Linked DNA regions of Neurospora crassa OR74A. The protein of the gene in region 1 binds, or shares a complex with, the protein of each later gene. Links are inferred from orthologs where the notes say so. Each region holds a gene or a part of one and is shown in the gene's direction. Other genes may lie near its edges.

Region 1 (5,860 bases):
TGGAGACCTCTCTCCACCTGCCCTTGGCGAACTTTTTGTTGATCCCGTCCAGATAAGCCTTGTTCTTTTCAGCAGAGACGCCGGTTCTCTCGAATAGATCCTCAAACTCCTCCTTGATAGGCATGGCGAGGGTCTGTGCGCTGACGGGCTTGAAGCCACCCAAAAGGTCACCAGCTTCACTTTGCTGGGACAAGTTGACGGCGACAAGTTGGTGACCAAGTGATTCCGCCAGCTGCTGAACCACGGTAGTCTTACCGATACCCGTCTCACCGACCAACAGGAGCGGCTCCTTGTGCCTTACAGCAACCGCAATCTGCTCCAGCAACCGCTTAGCATGAGTGGTGGTAGCGAAAGGCCTCTTGTTCTTGGCCCCACGGCTGGTTTTCCTCCCCTTTGCAAACGAGACGCGGCCGATGGTGAGTCTTGACTCATTATCCTCCAAGTCGGGAACGTAGCTCGTCAAGTAGTGCTCAACCCTCTCGGGAGAAAGATGCATCTCCTTCGCAATGACACCTATTAGAATATTACGCGCTTGGATCTCCTTGACTCCACCAACGAAAACATCGGCCGCTTCGAGGAACATGCGGTCCCTGGTAGTATCGGTAATGGGCTCCTCGCCAGTCTTGCAGCCGGAAGCACGGAGAATCTCATCTAGGCGCCCGCACCACTTGAGGAGATCTCTTGTGCCGAGTGGCCGCTCGAAGACCATGCGACCGAGCGACAGACGGGTCGAACCGCTGGTGGCCGCCAGCAACGCATCGAAGACCGCCAACACTCCTGGAACGTATTTGTGAAGCAAGGGATATCTGCTGTTGATGACATCCTTCAAGTCCTGTTGGGGAAGGGCCTTGACGTGCGTAAGCTGCCAAAGACGCAGACCAATCAAGCTGGGTAGGTTCTCCTTGTCGTTCATGCCGAGCAGCGTCCGGACAGTAGCAAATATGCGGAAGCCTTCGGTGGCCTGTATGGTCTCGCCGCGTCCAGGAATTAGCAGCTCTCCTCGCTCAATGAGAGGCAGCAATGTGCTCATGACTTCTGTTGGCGCGCGATCGAGATCCTCAATCAAGACCCATCTTCCCTCCTTGACGGCAGTGGTCAACACACCTGGGCGCCACGAGAAGGAACCGGGTTTCGAGTCGGTGGTGTATAGCCCAAGCAGCATCTTGGCGTCGGTTTGCTCGTTCAGGTGTAGTGTCACTAGTTGCTTCTGCTTGCCTAACTCGCGCGCAATCTCGTGGACTAGGGAGGTCTTGCCGGAACCGGACAGGCCGTGGAGGAGGATAGGCCCGGGTCGTTGCAGGCACCCGGTGAGGTTCTCGAGGTTCTCAACAGTCGTCGGGGTAAGTGCGAGGGTGGTGGGAGCAGTCACAGGGCCGAGGGGACGCGGGAGGACTGTCTTTCCATATTTGACAACTAGAGGAGTGAGGTTCTGTTCTGGGATGTTTGTGATATTCAATTCGACAACCGCATCGTCAACCGCACTAGTTTGTTGGGATTTACTGCGAGAGCTCTGAATGTCTTCACGTCTAGAATCCTCGTGTAGGCTGAGGAACGCATAGTCGGCTTCGCGCCCGTCGAGCTCTGCGACAAGGCTGGTATCTTTGGGTATGTGCTTTTCGAGGAGGGCTTCGATCTTGACATCGGCGGCATTATGAAGCTGGCAGAAGATTCGGACGGCAAGATATCGGACGATGGGGTTCTCGTGTGCGAACAGGGTCTGTATTTGGGATGGCTTTGACAGGCCGGCGTAGGTGCGCTTGTCAAAGTTGTTGAGCCTCCAGAGGGCTAGGAGGACAATTGGGAGGTCATCTGGGCGGATCGAAGCTAGGTCAAGGGAATCGAGAGGTTTAAGTTTTGAAGAAGCATCATTGTCGTTGCTTTTGTCGTTGTGGTTACCACCATTAACACCACCAAAAGATCCTCCTCGAAGATGCGACACGAGGAAGACGGACAGCGACGGGGCGAAGGGCAAGATCCTTGCGAAAGCGGCAAGGACTCGCGTATCGAGTTTTGGAGAAGACAGAATCCATCTGGCGCAAATATCGGCAAAAACAGACTCGAAATGGGTAAAGATGCGGTCGGTGGCTGTCGAGACAAGAGCGGCGCTGGCGATCGCATCGAGGAATTTGGTCGATTGGTGATCCTGGATTATGAGCAGCAACTCTGGCGGCAAGAGGTCCAAGGTGGTCGCATCGCTAAGGAGCGACGCCCTCTGCTGGCTCACATCGATCACGGCCATCATGGCCAGGGAAAAGCGACGGGACGGGTTGGCGTGGATGTCGTCGTCGTCGTCGTCGTCGTCGTTGTGAAAAACGGTGATGTTTTTCTTAGTCTCTTTTTTTTTTTTATCTCTAACTTTTTTGCCCATTGAACTTCGCTTTCTCCCGTTTGGAACTTTTTCCCACATGAAATTCCTTATCGCGCTGAACGATAGTGCGGGGTACATGCTACTTAGCGCTAGGCGCATGTGCTGGGGTGTACTGCATAGTACTCTACATAGTGTAGTGTAAGTCGGCTGCGGCAGGCAAGGGAGCCATCTTCTTCAAAAGTGGAACCTAGTTCCGGGTGGGACGAACAGCCCAGCGGCAGCAGGGGCGCGCTTGGGATGACAGGGGCCCATCCTTTAGCGCGTCTTCAGTGGACTTCAAGGTACAGAGGTACCTAATCCCCAGACTCGCGCGGGGCAGGCAGCTTGGGTTTTCCCCTCCAGCTGCAGCTCCGGGTCAGCCAGCCGTCATAGATCCAACTTGCACGCCCAAACCACCAAGCTGCCAACTGCCAGTAGTGGGTCCCAGATTTCGCAGCACCCGGGAGCGCGCGACAACGTCCCCAAAAAAATATCTCCGTTTAGTTGTTGTACGGTTCGGTTGTACGATCCTCGAAGTCGACGTCGACGGCAAGCCTCCCTCACCAAAAAAAGAGAACCCCAATCCGACCGCCCCCGCGCGCCCTCTCTCTTTCCTTCCTCCGGTCCGAGTCCGACTCCCCTCTCTCCATCCATCCATCCACACAACCCACCACCACCAACACACACACATACCAACAATGTCTCTCTCGGTTCGCTTCGCCGCGCAATGCGCCGCCCGCCAGCTCCGCGCATCCACCCGGGCCTCGAGCTCCCTCCTCGTCCAGAAGCGCTTCGAGTCCACCGCCGCCCCTGCCGCCAACCCCAAGATCGCCGCCATTGTTGACCAGATCAGCACCCTGACTCTCCTCGAGACCTCGGAGCTTGTGTCCAGCCTCAAGGTACGCCCGATTTAAATAAAGCACGAGAAGAAGAACAACCGGGGCCGGGAACCGGGACACACAAAACCCGAATCGGAGCATGTTTCAAGGTTTCCGGATGTTTTTGCGCCCCGGACCCGACCCGACCCGACCCGGCCCGGCCCCGGACAGACAGACAGACAGACAGACCTATCTTATACTACCTAGACTCTCAAGTCGCACACATGTACATGGGCACCAACACTAACACTCACTCTCTCTCTCTCTCTCTTCTTTTACACAAAACAGTCCCGCCTCAACATCCCCGATCTCCCCGTCGGTGGTTTCGCCGCTGCCGCCCCCGCCGCTGCCCCCGCCGCCGCTCCCGCTGAGGAGGAGGAGGCCGCCCCTGCCGCTGCCGAGAAGACGCTGTTCACGCTCAAGCTCGAGAAGTTCGACGCCGCCGCCAAGCCCAAGGTCATCAAGGAGGTCAAGAACCTGCTCGGCCTCTCCCTAGTAGAGTCCAAGAAGTTCGTCGAGAGCGCGCCCAAGGTCATGAAGGAGTCGGTACCAAAGGAGGATGCCGAGAAGATTGTCGCCGCCATGAAGGAGCTCGGCGCCACCGTCACCATGGACTAAACTGCTGCTTCTGCCTAGTAAAAGGGTTGGTTGCTATGGTTATGGTCTCTGTGTGGTGGTGTGGTGGGTGGAGGCGCCGTGTGTGTGTGTGTGTATGTGTGTTGTTGTTTTGTAGGATGGTCACGTCCCTCCCCCGCAGAAAAAGAACCAAACGAGGAGATCTTTTCCTGACACAGATGCCGGAAAGATATTTTCTTTTTTTTTTCCTATAATGATGATCATGACGGGACAGAGTTGGAAGAAATGCCAGGGCCTTGGGAAACACATAAAGGGGGATTCTCGGTCTCATCTACATTATATCCTCATGGGGAAAGGGGGGGAGTGGCGGACACAGATTCCTCACAACAACATATACCACTTGTACGTGTACAAAAAGCAATGAAACATGTAACATTATATCATACTACGAGAACTGGGATGGATAGAAGAACGGGTTGTCAGCGAAAACATGAGAGTCTGTCGACGATATTACCGTGAGCAGATGCCGCTTCTGAGTTAATAGTATCTCCCCACTTTCGCTTATGGATACCGAAGATAACTAAACAGCCAAAAACATAAACGCCATCCCATGCATACCCCATGTATCGGTAACTTCCTTGTTTCTTATTCTCAACCTCCTTCTCCTTGCCTCCTTCAATTTTCTTCTTTCTATCGCACTCCTACCAGCGCGCCTCTTGTATCCACCACCCGTGTCATTCCTACTGGTCTTGAATTCCCAGGTTCTCTTCTCCTCCGTCGGTTTCCTAACCCGAAGTCATCTCCACATCTTTATCTTGCTTCTCCTGTTGCTCCTTTTCCAGCTGCTGCAGCTGCTTCCTCCTCGCCATCTCGGCAATCTCCCCACTAATCGACATTGGCTTTTCCTTCATGTTATTCCCATTCATACCATCATCCCTCTCACCCCCGTTACTGGTAGAGGTAGTATGCCCACACCCCGCACCACCACTCCCTCCAATCCCTCCAATCCCCGCCTGCAAACTCCTCTCCCACTCCTCCTGCTCTTCCCATATCGCCCTCATGTCGTCATCCCCCAACTCTGACGTCTCCTCCAGCAATCTATCCAGCTCGTCTCCGCTCGGCACCGCCCAGATGTTCTCCCTCAGCCTCTTATGCCGCTCACGATCCTCCTCGATACGTTGCTCAACTTGTTTCTTGTCGAGACGAGGGGCGGCAGTGTTGACGCCTCCGCCGCGTTTGCTCAAATTGCTATGCTGTTGGTTGCTAGAGGAAGGTCCGCCGGCGGCATTGGTGGCGTTGGTGCTGGTGGGGAGGGTACCTGCTGCTGCTGTGGAAGAAGATGGAGGAAAAGGAGGAGGGTAGGAGGAAGAGTGGATGGCGGTTTGCGAGGGGGGCATGTTGGTATCGTATCCCGATGCTGCTGCTGAAAGGTTGTTGTTGTTGTTGGCAGAAGGGGAGAGGACGAGGTCCCCTTGGGAGGAAACGTAGGATTCGCCGCGTTCGCGGAGGACTTCAAAGATGTCGGTTAGGATGGTGGCGTCGAGAAAGGATTTGGCGTGGAGGGCTTGGAGGACCTGTTGTATGTTTGTGTTGTTTTTAGCATTGGCTGAGGATTAGGGGGGGGATAAAGACGGGTGAGAAAGGCAAAAACACAAACCTTGCGGACAACCTTGACGTTAGCCGCCCCTGACCCGTCATCTGGCGCCACGGCATCGACCACACGAATAATGTCCCGCTGCATCATGCGGATGTAATCCTCTTGTCCGTCTTTGTAGGCCATGTCGAGAAAGTGCTCGATGAAGTACATGATGTTGGCTCGCATGTTGAGATTGCTCTGGGAACCTTTGTTAGTGAATGTCTTGATTGAGCCAACGAGCCGCGGGGGTAGGGGGAGGGATGAGCCGATGAGGGTGAGGCTGGATGGTTTGACACCAGCTCAACTCGTCTTCTTCCCAAAATGATTGATTGACTGAGCAAACATGAAGATAAAAGATAAACACACCCTTTCAAGTTGCTCCAGAATGCAAGAGTGCAAATCTTCAGCTAGATCCTTGTGTCG
Region 2 (5,998 bases), about 2.9 Mb from region 1:
CACATCCGCTTTGGACGTCCAAGTGTCTCGAACATGGATACCTCCCACTATTCTTCTGGTCGTGGATAGTTGACACGGTCCATAGTCAAGTATGACACGTGAGAAGTGATCATCGTGGCTTACCCTTATCGTCGAAGGAAAAGGGAAGAATAATACTGAGTGGAAACTTGAGAGCAGTGAGAGGGGGCTGATGATACCCACCACGAGACAAACCGGACCAGTATGTTGTTGTTGCTTAGGAGGTCTGTCAATGCTGTTTCGCAGCCATCATGTCTAGTAGCGCCGCAACTTCCTGGGGTCTTCGTATCCGCCGTCGTATCCGCGTTTCCTGGATGAGTCGTCGTGATCTCTGGGCCTGTCGTAGTCGCGGCCACCGTGATACCCACCGTCTCTGGATTCCCTTGGGGCTCCGGGTTCTCTAGGCCTGATGGGCTCCATGTTGCTGCCAGTCTGCCGAGCGTTGCGTTCGCCGCCGCGGAAACCTCCGCCGCCAGATCTGTCATCATATGAGCGACCGCCATCACGCCCACCGTACCCACCGCTGCTTCCGCTAGGACCGTCCCTGCGGCTGTCGCGATCGCGGTCCCTGTCACGATGACTGTCACGGTCACGGCCGCCGAAGCCACCACCGGGACCATTGGGAGCATTAGACGGAGGCGAGAAACTGCTGCCACCTGGGCCGCCGAAGCCACGGCCGCCGTCACGTCCGCCACCAAAACCGCCGCCACCGCTACGTCCACCGAAGCGATCACCACCTCCAAAGCCGCCGCCGGGGCCGCCACCACCCCTGAAGCCGCGGTCGCGTCCTCTAAATCCGCCACCAAAACCACCACCGCGGAAGCCACCGGGACCGCCAAATCCACCGGGACCCATGGGCCTAGCGGGCATTGCCTTGGTGTAACCACGACCACCAAGGCCGCCACCGAGACGACGAGGTTTCCATCCCTTAACCGTGCGGCCTCTCTCTACATCGACCTTGATGCGGCGATCCTTAATACGGGCGCCATCACAGCCATCTAGAGCAGCTGGATTGCGCATGCGCCACAGGCGCAGGTGTCAGTAAGGCCTTACCATGAAGAAACAATACTACCTTTAAGGTATACGACGTGGAAGATGAATGGATAGAGGGAAGACGAAAAAGTTTCCGCAGGACAGGCAAGCTTGAGGGCCATTCGAGTCCTGGTTGTGGGCTTACAGAAAAGCACCGACAGCGGGCGTTTCCTTGTCTGTGTGTGCTGGTTGAATGTCAAGAAGAGGGGGGGGGGGGGGGTCAAGGGGGGCTGGTCATTACCTCTCATGTCCTTTTCGCGTTCGAAAACGACAAAAGCATAGCCACGATGGGGCTTTTTCTTCTTGTTTGGGTTCTCATCGGCGTGGGTATCTCTGATGATACGGATCTGTTTTTTGGTGTCAGTTCTTGTCAATTAACACACACATAGCTGTGAAATCATGATATAGGAGGAGGGGGGGTTTGCAAACTCACACGCTCGATAGGACCGTAGCGGCTAAACTCGCGCTCGAGATCCTGTTCATCAGCACGGTAGTCAAGACGCGCTACTATCAACGTCTTGAAAGCATCTCCTCTGATGTTGGGATCGTCATTAGGGTTGTCTACAGATAAACGCCATCGGTTAGCAAGCCGCACGACAGCAAGATCATGATCAAGTAAAGGAGTAGCGAGCACAACTGCGCGTAACGTTGGGGGTTTGCCGCGTACAATTCTTGGGACCCTCGGTCAACAGCTTCTCCAAAGCTTCCTTCTTCTCGCGCTTCTTGCGGTCGCGCGCCTCCAGCCAGCTCTCGGTGGGATGGTACTCGTATTCTTGCTCGTAGGCCTGCATGGCAGGAAGGAAGTCGGCAACGGGGGTGATGAAGGCCGACTTGCGCTCTTCGGGAGCAACATCGCAGGGCGGCACCCAGCGCAGAGGTGGCCGGGGCGCAAAGAGTGCGAGGAGGTTAGGCGGGAGCCGGTCTGTCATTGTCGCTTCACGTTGTCGCTGTTGTAGCTGGTCAAGTGGTGTTTTTTTGTTGATCTTATCTGTCGTCGAATTATGAAATCGATATGTCGGAAACCAGGAAATGTAGGTCGTCTGGCGTTTGATCCACTGTTCGGAAAGCCGGGCGAGAACAGTTCAATAAGGCTGAACGCTGTTACTGTTTGCCAATTCTTGTGATGGCGATAATGTGGTGTTGTCGGTTTGCGAGAAAGGTCAAACCCGCATTTTCGCGACTTTGCTTGGACAGCTGAAGACGAGAGACAGAGGGTGGGAGGCGGGAGCAGCAAAGGGCCCTGTCTGGTGTTGTGTCGTCCACTGCCTGGCAGCCTCGCAGCGACTGGAGCTCTTGCTGGGCAGCTTTCTCGCGCGCTCGACCACCGAACGACTGAGTGCGAAAGAGGGACCGTGCACCCTTAGGTCGTCTTCGTTATCACTACGCACACACCCAAGGAGGAGTGCAATCGCGTGAAATTGATTCTGCCAACCGCTTTTGCAGTTGGGCGGGTCCCCCACCCCCAGTGCCGTGCCGGCGCGCGACGGGGCGGGAGTCTGGCAGAAGTTCAAGTCGCACCCGCCCTCCGGATCATGAACCCTGGTGGACTCGGACTTGTTGCAAGGCGAGGACGGCGGCGAAGAAGAAGAAGAAGAAGAGCATCACAACAATGACGGTAAAAGCATTGACGCAGATCTCCTCTGCCGGCCGTGTAAGTTAGACCGCAGCCTGAGCAACTAAAAACTTTAATTTTCAGAAAAAAAAGAATGCTAATCGTTGATTGTTTTGTATCTAGAATGGCGTCGGCGCATTCGTCTTGCAGTGCAAGAAGTTGGACATCCACTACAGTGACTGGGCCGGCAGCTCCCGGGGCATGAAGTACGTTTAGGATTCTTCGAATATGGACATCGCAACCTCATTCCCGATCGAACATCTTTCACATATACCAATACCTCTACACGTCCAACCAAACCGACATCCTCCCAAGATCTCGAGACCATCCCGCCGTCCCCGACCATCCATCCATCCATCCATCCACCACTACATACCCTTTTTCTCGTCCCTCCTCGTCCCTCCTCGTCCCTCCTCGTCCCTCCTCGTCCCTCCTTATCCCTCCAGTCTCCCTTCGCGACCTCAGCAGACAGACTCTTTCACTAACACTTACTTCTTCCTCCATCTAGCGGCTTCATCAAATCCCTCCTCCCCAAATTCGCCGCCGCCAACCCGCAAATCGAGTTCGTCGTCTCTCCCCGGCCCGCCAAGCACCCGATCCTCATGGGCCACTACATCAACGGGCGCACCAAGGCCATTTGCGTGCGCAACATGGAGCCGCTCGAGATCCTCAAGAAGGCCGAGCTCCTCCGCGACGCGAGCGGCGAGAAGCCCCAGAAGTTCAAGAAGCCCGTCACCAGCACGAACCCCAGTGTCAGAGGTGTCTGGTCGCCTTACCATGGGCAGGGTATGGCTGTATAAAGCGGAAAAAGGGGGAGGAGCAGGTGCTGGTGCTGGTGCTGGAATGGACTGGATCGGTGCTGGGCTGGATTTGGTGCTCGGCCGGTGTTGGCTCGGTTCAGTACCAGGTGGATTGTATATACCATGTTGAATGTATGAATATGAATTGAGGACATGAAAAGGGTTTCTGGATGTATCAAGGGTTTCGGTTTGGCTATATGGTTGTGATCAAGTCCTTCCAGAGCTATCGAGTTCCCATGATGAGTTGCCCCAGTTCCAAAGAATCTGACATTATCTTCTGGTGCTTGGTGGTTGACTGTTGATATTGGAACTTGGGATGAACATCTAAGAGCGAATGGAGGAGCCGCGGAGTTGCGGTATCTGGTGTCACAGAAGTCATGAACGGGCTACATGAAGCGAAACTACGTTCTTCAATCCCAAATCGAACAAAATCAGGACATTTAACTATTTTATATTTTCGCCGTGTCCTCAACACCATTTCCCAGCCTATATGATTGCGGCTGTAGCAAAGCTATAACTTTTTATGGGCAAGTAATTTACAGGTTGGCGTTGATGATGTCCACGACTGCATCATATCATGTTAGCCATCTTTCTTCCTCTCGTTGCAACAATGGCAGGTAGTACTTACACTCGGGCTTCAAGCTGGCACCGCCAACAAGGAAACCGTCAATGTCCTGCTCCTTGGCAAGGTCCTTGCAGTTCTTGGCGTTGACAGAGCCACCGTAGAGGATGCGGGTCTCCTCAGCAACCTTGTCGCTGACGTTCTGCTTGAGCCAGCTGCGGATGGCGGCGTGCACCTCCTGGGCCTGCTCCTTGGTGGCGACGAGGCCGGTGCCAATGGCCCAGATGGGCTCGTACGCGATAACGACGTTCTTCCAGTCGTTGATCTCCTTGGCGAGAGCGGCGAGCTGGTTCTCGACGAACTTGATGGTCTCGCCGGCCTGGCGCGTGTCCTTGGACTCGCCGCAGCACCAGATGACCGAGATGCCGTTGTCGAGGGCGTACTTGGTCTTGGAGGCAATGAACTCGTCCGACTCGCCGAGCTCGTTGCGGCGCTCAGAGTGGCCGAGAATGACCCACTTGACGCCGAGATCCAGGAGCTGCGTGGCGCTGATCTCGCCGGTGAAGGCGCCGTTGGGCTTGTTGAAGACGTTCTGAGCGGCAACCTCAACGTTGGGCTTCTGGAGGTTCTGCTTGACGAAGTCAAGGTAGAGAGCGGGAGGGGCGATCACGACCTCTGTTTATGTTCTGATCAGCATTTGAGCAGTGTACTGCTAATTCCACCCTGTCTTTTTTTTTTTTTTTTTTTTTGTCCTGGCGTTGCAGACATACCGGCGTTAGGGTCCAATTGGGCGTTGTTAAGGTTGTCAACGATGGCCTTGAGATCCTTACGGGTCCCGTTCCTGGAAATAGGGGTTTGTTTAGTTAGCTGGCCGAGTCATTACCGCGGGGTTTTCGTTGACATATGACGGGGTGCTATGATGATGATGGTAATGGCGGGGTAAAAGTGTTGGGGAAAGCTCCCCTCAGCTCTCGGATGAGAATTAACGCACATCTTGAAGTTGCCGCCGACGAAGAACTTGCGAGCCATTTTGGGCGATTTGTTGGTTTGGTAGTACTAAAAAAGGGGGTATCTAGGGGGTTGCTGGAAGCAGAAGCAGATGGCAAAGTTGTGATGATGATGTTGTTGTTGTTGGAGTGGAAGTTGGAAACAGAGCTCGAGATGGGACAGGACGAAGTGGGGATAGGGTACCTCTATGTAGTGTACCGCTGGAGGAGGGGTGGTCGGGACTCAGAAGACTAGCTACTACACTAGGGCGGAGGCATCAGACGTAAAAGTGGATTATCATCTGCAGACCTACCTAGAGGCAGTTCGGGGGCGCCAGACGGAGTGAGCCTGTCACACATTGCGATTCCCGACCCGGAGCTGGCTGTTGTCCCTCGAGGTTTTCGTGTGTGAATGGTTGCTTGGCGGGTGGGATCCAGTTGCGAGAAGGTCCGATTGTCAATGGTGGTTCCAAGCTGCAAGTCCTCCTCTACACTACATCATATGACACCACTTCTCAGCATATCTCATAATGCTTTCTGTTCAAAAGCAAATGACACCACTTTCACGAAACAATCCTCAAGAAGACGGGACTCGGCTAAAGGTAGGTGTGTTTACTTTTGGCTGGTTTGGTATCATTAACTGGGACCCTTGTGTGTCGTCATATCTCCATCCAGTTGTGGATCGCTGTACCTGCGTCCGACTAATGACGCTGGAGTGCTTGTTGTGTCAACTTCCTGTCCGCTCGTCCGTTCGGCTCTTGGGTGAGCTAGGTATTTGTTGATCACCAGCGAAATGAGATAGTATCGTGTACACGTGTAAATTGTCCGCCTCGTCCTTTCACTTCCTCGGTTCTCCCTCACGATCTGCACATTACCGCCTAAAAAACCCGCCCTTTACTTGCGGCTTCCTGTTTCGGAGCAGGAGGGTTTCCTTGAGGTTCAACGCTTGCCTCTTCACCTTGGGCGCCAGGCTCTGGTTTGTGTTGTT
Region 3 (6,359 bases), on another chromosome or scaffold:
AAGATGTGCCGCTTGCCCATATGGATGAAGGACTATCTTCAGACTCTTATTTCCCCCATTTCTCTCCTAGATTGACCCGAGTTACCGTGACCTGTCTCATCCCCCAACGACCAGAGATTGATACCACCAAATGTAGCGTGTGTGAACAGATCCCAAGCATATGGTTCCACGCTTCTTGATTAAAGGATATATGCACCTCAGATTACCCCCAGACTAGCATCATATTTCATAGGGCAACGCAGTCGTGTTTGCAGACGTTTCCCAAACCGACGAGTAGAGAGGGGCCTCAAAAGACTGCAAAGCACCAGCAATCTGCTCAAACGACGAAATCATGAACCCAGCCACCTCGCCAAGCGCCAAGAGTGCGAGGTTGCGAACAGCAGAGGGCGGTAGGCCATAGGATCCCATGACGAGAGAAGCGGTAGGGCAAACGATGTAGGGCCACCAGCTGCGCGAGGAAGCACCGGTCAACAAGGACTCGTTCACAGACGATGCCGCTTCCGCGGTGTTCTCCAGTATGTCGAGGATATCGTTGGTGATGTTGGAGGCTTGTTGGAGTCTTTGCGTTTGGTCCTCGTATTTGGTGGCTAGGGTCTCGGTGACGGCGAGGAGGCGGTCCATTCCTTGCTCGAGGTTGTCTTGACGGAGGGCTAATGCGGCGGCTTGTTGGTTGGAGAGTTCCTATCCAGGGTTAGTCACACGATGTAAGTGACGGTCACTGTCAGGAAGATGGCCTACAATTTGTTGTTGTAGGGCGGTGGTTGATGCTGCGGCTGTGGCAACCACCGCAACTAGGGCTCCAATGCCATCGTTGGCTCGGACGGAGACTTGTTGAAGGGCATGTTCGTGCGCATGGGCCACTCGTGAGTGACCCTCAAGAACACCAGTAAGCAGTAGGTTGAGCAGTTTCTGCAGGTCTTCGGCTTGTTGTTGGCTGTCGTGTAGGGAGGCAAAGGACCTTCGGAGTGTTGCTTCAACATCGGTCGCCAAGTATTCATGAACCATGGCAAGCCCATCTCTCAGTTTATCGATCTGTGGTGTGAGGTTGTCGAGATTTTTCATGGACTGTTGTGTCCGCAGGTCAAGTCGATTCATTTGCTTCTGAAGCTGAGCTTCCACGCCTTCTGTAAGGTTCTTCATCACATTCGTGAGTCGTTGATAGAGGAGAATGTTTTGTGCTGTAAATCACTGTCAGCTACGACTCTGAAACGGTGCGTCTCAACCTAGATACCATACCTTTCTCATTATCCGCTCTGGCCGCCTCACAGAACCGCAAGGCCTTGTGCCGATAACTAATCCACGTATTCCACGCAGCATCTGACGACTTCATGGCTGACAGGCAGTGATCGATTTCATGACTGCTGACGTGGAGTTGTGCTTGGTCCCGGATCGCAATCTGACTCAGGGCCGGTTCACGGAACTTGGCACATTGCGCCGGGATATTGAACCTGCCTCGCTCCAAATCACATATCGCTAGACTGGCAGCGTAGGAATCAACAAAGTCGCGAACTTGCCGACCAGTGTCTGTGAGGATTGTGGCGTCGTTCTTTCCGTCTACCAGCTGGCAGTTGTTGACTAGGAGTCGGGCGGCCACACGATGGCAAAACGGTTCTGATTCGAGTTCTTGAAGTTCACTTAGGGCGACGGCGTAGATATTTGGTAGGCGTGAGGACGCTCGAAGCAGATCCGAAGGCTGGATGTTGCGGTCGATGTTGACTTGATGGTCGGCTGTGTTGCGGTCATATTATTAGTCAAGCCCTGCAGGCAGTGCTCTGATATTACTTACGAACTGCCACTTTTCTTTCACCTCCCCACGAAAAGGCCAGAGAAGGTGTAGCTGTAACGGCACAGAGAGCCGTGAAGAGAAGCTTCCTGGCCATAGTTGTCATGTAAGTGCAATGCGACAGGCTGATGATGATATACTGATAAAGTCAGATGCGTCCAGAAGAGTGCCGTCGAAGGGACTTCGGCAGTAAGAAATGGAGATTCTGGCAATATTGGTAGTGCAATTTTGGCGATCGAAGTTTGTGGCCATGCAACTGAAAATTCTGTGGTGTTTTTGAAGAGAAGGAGCGATTCAAGAGAGGGAAGGAAGGAAGGTGTATGAGGGTAAGTTGGCGATCGCGACTGCCCAGGATAAGAGAAGCGGACTTGAATTTAGCGGGACAAGAATCACAGGATTGTGAAACCGCGAAAAGGTTTCGTGTGAAATGACTTCACTTGAAGTTCGCATCGAATATGACTGTGATTGTCTGCCGAGCTCGACTTTTGCTGGTTCTTAATCGTCTGATGTGACGCTGTCCTCTCCAACAGAAGCGAGCCTAGACAAAGATTTGGGCTGTAGACCACTTGTCTTGACATCACTGGAATCTGCATCTTTTCATCCGGTATCGAGAAAGTGCAAACAGCTCGCTTGAGACAGTTTGGAAGACTTCGACCGTGACGGGTGTTCTGGGTGGTGATGACTATCGTGAGGTTGGCATCCGTAAAGTCGTCATCGGAAAGCTGGACGATTGTCGAACGGGAGATTAATTCAACATTCAATCTGAATATTGTGAAACAATATGTTCCATCGAGTAAACTCTACACTTCCACGCCCTGTGCCATTTTCTTTTTGAAGATTTCTTACTCGAGATGAATGATGTCGGATGGAATAACATCTGTTGGTGTTCGTCGTTGTTTCTTAGCCCAAGCGAATAGCAGCAGCGAGACTATGCGGATACGACCCTAACCCTGTTGTATTTACAGCCAATCACTAGCTGCATTGCTGTGCCGCGTCAGGTCCGATACATTTTTTGGAGCTCTCCGAAGATCCACTCGGTTCATCCCACCACCCGGCCGGCTTGCCATTGACTCGGTGCTGCCCTTGCGACTGCCAGAACCTCCGAACTGGAGCGCCGCGTCTCTTCGCCAATTCCGGTTCCGCATCGTGACGACGGCCACCACCCTGCCGACGACGACGACACTCACCACGATGTTCGCCCCAAGCCGAAGGAGGGTCCTTGAGGCCGTTGCCTCTTCCTCATCTTCTCCCGTCGTCACACTCCCCGGCTTCCTGGTGCCCGCCTTCCAACAGACTGCCGGTGCCGCCGCCCGGCGCAACTTTTCCGCGACGACAACCCGCCCGTCCAAGCTCGGCCGCACCCCGCTCAGTATCCCTCCTGGCGTCGAGATCACCATTGGCGAGCCCTTCGTCAAGCGCGACATGACGCAGTGGAAGCAGCAGCCTAAGCGCAAGATTACGGTGCAGGGCCCGTTGGGTTAGTTTGTTCTATTGTAAAATCGACTTGGCAAAAGGACCAGATGGGTGTTTTATTTGAGGATACGCAACGAAACTGGAGCGGGCGCAACAGATGGGCTGGGAGAGGCCCGAGAGAGAACGTTGTTTATGGGTGTTTGCGCGAGAGTGCAAAGGGGACTAGGATGGGAGCAGAGCAGCTGGCTGACTTGTTGCACGTGTGCGTGTGCTTTTTCACAGGACAACTCGAGATGGACATTCCCGACTTCATCAAGATCGACCACGACGCCGAGGCAAGGAGAGCGACCCTCAGCGTAGCGAACCGGGACGAGAAGGAGCAGAGAGAGATGTGGGGTATGGCAAACACCTTCCTTGTCTTGGAGAATGTGGAAAGTTACGGGCGGCCAGTCAGCTGACGATTTCGAATCTTTCTTGGACAAAACAGGAACAACATGGGCGTACCTCAACCGCTTCATTATGGGTGTATCAGAAGGTCACACGGCCGTGTTGCGTTTGGTCGGTATCGGTTACAGAGCTACAATCGACACCCGCCCCGAGAAGGAGGAATACCCCGGCCAGCAGTTCGTCTGCCTCAAGCTCGGTTTCTCCCACCCCGTCGAGATGGGCGTTCCCAAGGGCATGAAGGCCAGCACGCCGCAGCCGACAAGAATCCTGCTTGAGGGCATCAACAGAGAGCAGGTCATGACCTTCGCCGCTGATATCAGGAGGTGGCGTGTACCGGAACCCTACAAGGGTAAGGGTATCTTTGTCAACGGCGAGACCATCAAGTTGAAGCAGAAGAAGATCAAATAGAGGACGCGCGGTGGGTTTTGGTGGCTGATATGGTTGTTGATGAGGATAAGGGGGGAATATTGTACATTTAGTCTATTATTTTTTTTGGCACACACATGGCCTCATAACGGCCCGATACCTGCCATAACCTGTACACTATGACACCGAGGCTTTACTGCTGCCCGAGAACTTCCTGAACGACCTTGATGACCTGGTCGTGGACCGCAGCAGGCGCCGCAATGACACCCTTGTTTTCAGCCAACGTGCGGCCGACGCTGAAATCCAGGCGGTTTCCACTCACGTCGGTAACCTGACCACCAGCCTCACGCACAATCAGATCTCCAGCAGCGTGATCCCAGATCTTCTCCTGGTAAGACTTGGAAGTAGGCAGACGGAGGTAGATATCACCCGCGCCGCGAGCAATAGAGCCGTACTTGGCCTGGGAATCCATGCGCACACTAGGCTTGGTGATCCCGAGCTTCTGCGCAATCTGTCCAGCCACGCCCTGATCCGAGTGACCCGCCTCCACGCTCTCGCAGAAGCTGGCGTTGGACATCTCTGTAATAGGCTTCATCGCAATGGACTTGCCCTCCGCAAGACCGGCGGTGCCCAGGGGTCTGCTAGTCGCGCCTTGGCCCTGAACGGCCGAGAAGATGACACCCCGGCCCTCATCGGTCGCATTGGTGCCGATATCCGCAGCCAACGGCGCAGCGTCGTCCACAGGCAGGTTCGGGCAACCGAGAACACCGACCTTGACGTCACCGTCCACCATCAGTCCCAAGCACACGGCATACTGTCCACCGCGCAGGAAGCCCTTGGTGCCGTCGATGGGGTCGATAGTCCATATCCTGCCCTTGGCGCCGCCCTTGCTGTTGCCCTGGTCGATGATCTCCAGCATCGCGTCGGCATCCTTGATGGCGCCGCCAAGGAGTTGCTCGGCAGCCTCATCGTCAAGCTTGGTGGACTTGACGAGCTCCCAGATCTGGTCCCGCAGGGGGGTGTCCTCGCGCAGCTGAGCGGCCTCCTCCTCAGCCACAATCTCGTCCGAAGGAAAGTTGGCCTTGAGGGCGCTGATGATGAGCGCCTGAGCGCCAAAGTCGCCAATGGTCACAGGGGACTTGTCGTCCTTGGAAACGGTGCCCTTGGCCTTCTCGTGGAAGACGCGCTTGGTGAGGCGGGCGGCCCGCTGGACGGCGAGCTGAGCTACCTCGAGCTCCTTTGCGTACTGGGAAGAGGCCATCTTCTGTGTAGATGTAGTTGTAATGGTTGAGCGGCTGGTTGCTGTGATTGTGTTGGCACTGCCAGTCAAATGGCTCGCAATGAGGGAAAGCCGGGGAAAGGAGATGCGGGAACTGAAGATAGCCAGGATGAGGACGATGAGGGAGAAAACGAAGAGAATTTTGGAGTAGAAAGTATGGGACGATGCCTTTTTCTGCTGTTTGATCTTATCCACAGTCATACAGCCGCGAGAGGATCGATAAACCTCGGGGAATTTTCAATCCGTAACCGGAATACGTATTCAGTCCAAGTTGTTGAGTGGTTGAACTTGGGATTCTGGCTGTCAAATGTTCCCCGCACTGATTCTGTAGCGGCGAAGCTGTTGACGTATGACTGCCCTTTTTGTCTTTTTTCCCACTTCAATTGGTTCCCCGCAATGCCACCAACCGCTCGCTATCTCCACAAATGCAGACATGAGAGTCTCAAAATCTTTGTTTACTTTGATGAAATGCTTTACCTATTTCTTGATGTTTCTTTTTCGATTTGGCACTCCACTCTTGAGAGAATGCCCGTCAAAACAGCAATGATGACACGGCTCGGTTCAGGGTCCTTTCCATGTTAAACATGAGCACCCACGGATAAGCTAGGTAGCTAGCCCCGAACTCGGAGAGAGCTTCTCTTTCGACTCCAATATTCATCACATTTTGTGGGATTTCTATCTTCACTTCCGCCGACGACACTCAGACGGTCCCGATGACCTCGAAGCGAACTGCGCAGCAACAGTAAATTCTGCACCCTGTTATCAACGAAAAGGGAACCGGACCGAAAGTCCAACCCTTTACATTCAACGAACCAACTGAGCTCCGAAAAGCTGCAGCATCCATGCCGCAGCGTGCCAAGCCAAGTGGCTTGCTTGGATCAACTCCCATTCAGCAACTCAAAGCGCTTCTGGAGACACCATCACGGGTCACATCGATGCGGAGGTCGAGCTGAACAGGCCCTGGTATAACCTAATTGCCAGCCTCATGGTGTTGCTGGTCACTTGATAAGTATGGACGGGCCGTCGTGGCGCCCACGGGTGTGTTTTTACTTCTATCAAGTTTGTATTTTC

What was found.
Region 2: NCU06469 (region 1) and NCU07549 share a complex: the UniProt entries of both Saccharomyces cerevisiae proteins name them as parts of the mitochondrial large ribosomal subunit. The link is inferred for Neurospora crassa OR74A from reciprocal best matches to the Saccharomyces cerevisiae genes MNP1 and MRPL51.
Region 3: NCU06469 (region 1) and NCU04068 share a complex: the UniProt entries of both Saccharomyces cerevisiae proteins name them as parts of the mitochondrial large ribosomal subunit. The link is inferred for Neurospora crassa OR74A from reciprocal best matches to the Saccharomyces cerevisiae genes MNP1 and MRPL6.

The regions. Positions count from the first base shown.
Region 1 is NC_026503.1:1,523,317-1,529,176, forward strand, and holds NCU06469 (putative mitochondrial 54S ribosomal protein MNP1), read left to right. Parts: upstream 1-2,827; 5' UTR 2,828-3,045; coding exon 3,046-3,246; intron 3,247-3,513; coding exon 3,514-3,843; 3' UTR 3,844-4,377; downstream 4,378-5,860. Other genes in the region: NCU06468 (midasin), read right to left, coding at 1-2,242; NCU06470 (hypothetical protein), read right to left, coding at 4,587-5,375, 5,459-5,635, 5,804-5,860. UniProt on the Saccharomyces cerevisiae protein: Component of the mitochondrial ribosome (mitoribosome), a dedicated translation machinery responsible for the synthesis of mitochondrial genome-encoded proteins, including at least some of the essential transmembrane subunits of the mitochondrial respiratory chain.
Region 2 is NC_026503.1:4,404,471-4,410,468, reverse strand, and holds NCU07549 (mitochondrial 54S ribosomal protein MRPL51), read left to right. Parts: upstream 1-2,478; 5' UTR 2,479-2,659; coding exon 2,660-2,701; intron 2,702-2,785; coding exon 2,786-2,868; intron 2,869-3,170; coding exon 3,171-3,462; 3' UTR 3,463-3,914; downstream 3,915-5,998. Other genes in the region: NCU07548 (hypothetical protein), read right to left, coding at 274-1,025, 1,292-1,397, 1,484-1,611, 1,718-1,979; NCU07550 (triosephosphate isomerase), read right to left, coding at 3,999-4,027, 4,091-4,699, 4,795-4,865, 5,016-5,053; NCU07551 (hypothetical protein), read right to left, coding at 5,882-5,998. UniProt on the Saccharomyces cerevisiae protein: Component of the mitochondrial ribosome (mitoribosome), a dedicated translation machinery responsible for the synthesis of mitochondrial genome-encoded proteins, including at least some of the essential transmembrane subunits of the mitochondrial respiratory chain.
Region 3 is NC_026506.1:2,633,107-2,639,465, forward strand, and holds NCU04068 (mitochondrial 54S ribosomal protein YmL16), read left to right. Parts: upstream 1-2,789; 5' UTR 2,790-2,974; coding exon 2,975-3,260; intron 3,261-3,478; coding exon 3,479-3,592; intron 3,593-3,683; coding exon 3,684-4,051; 3' UTR 4,052-4,202; coding exon of another isoform or gene 4,203-5,489; 3' UTR 5,490-5,596; downstream 5,597-6,359. Other genes in the region: NCU04067 (hypothetical protein), read right to left, coding at 220-681, 739-1,178, 1,237-1,728, 1,787-1,880; NCU04069 (3'-phosphoadenosine 5'-phosphatase), read right to left, coding at 4,203-5,489. UniProt on the Saccharomyces cerevisiae protein: Component of the mitochondrial ribosome (mitoribosome), a dedicated translation machinery responsible for the synthesis of mitochondrial genome-encoded proteins, including at least some of the essential transmembrane subunits of the mitochondrial respiratory chain.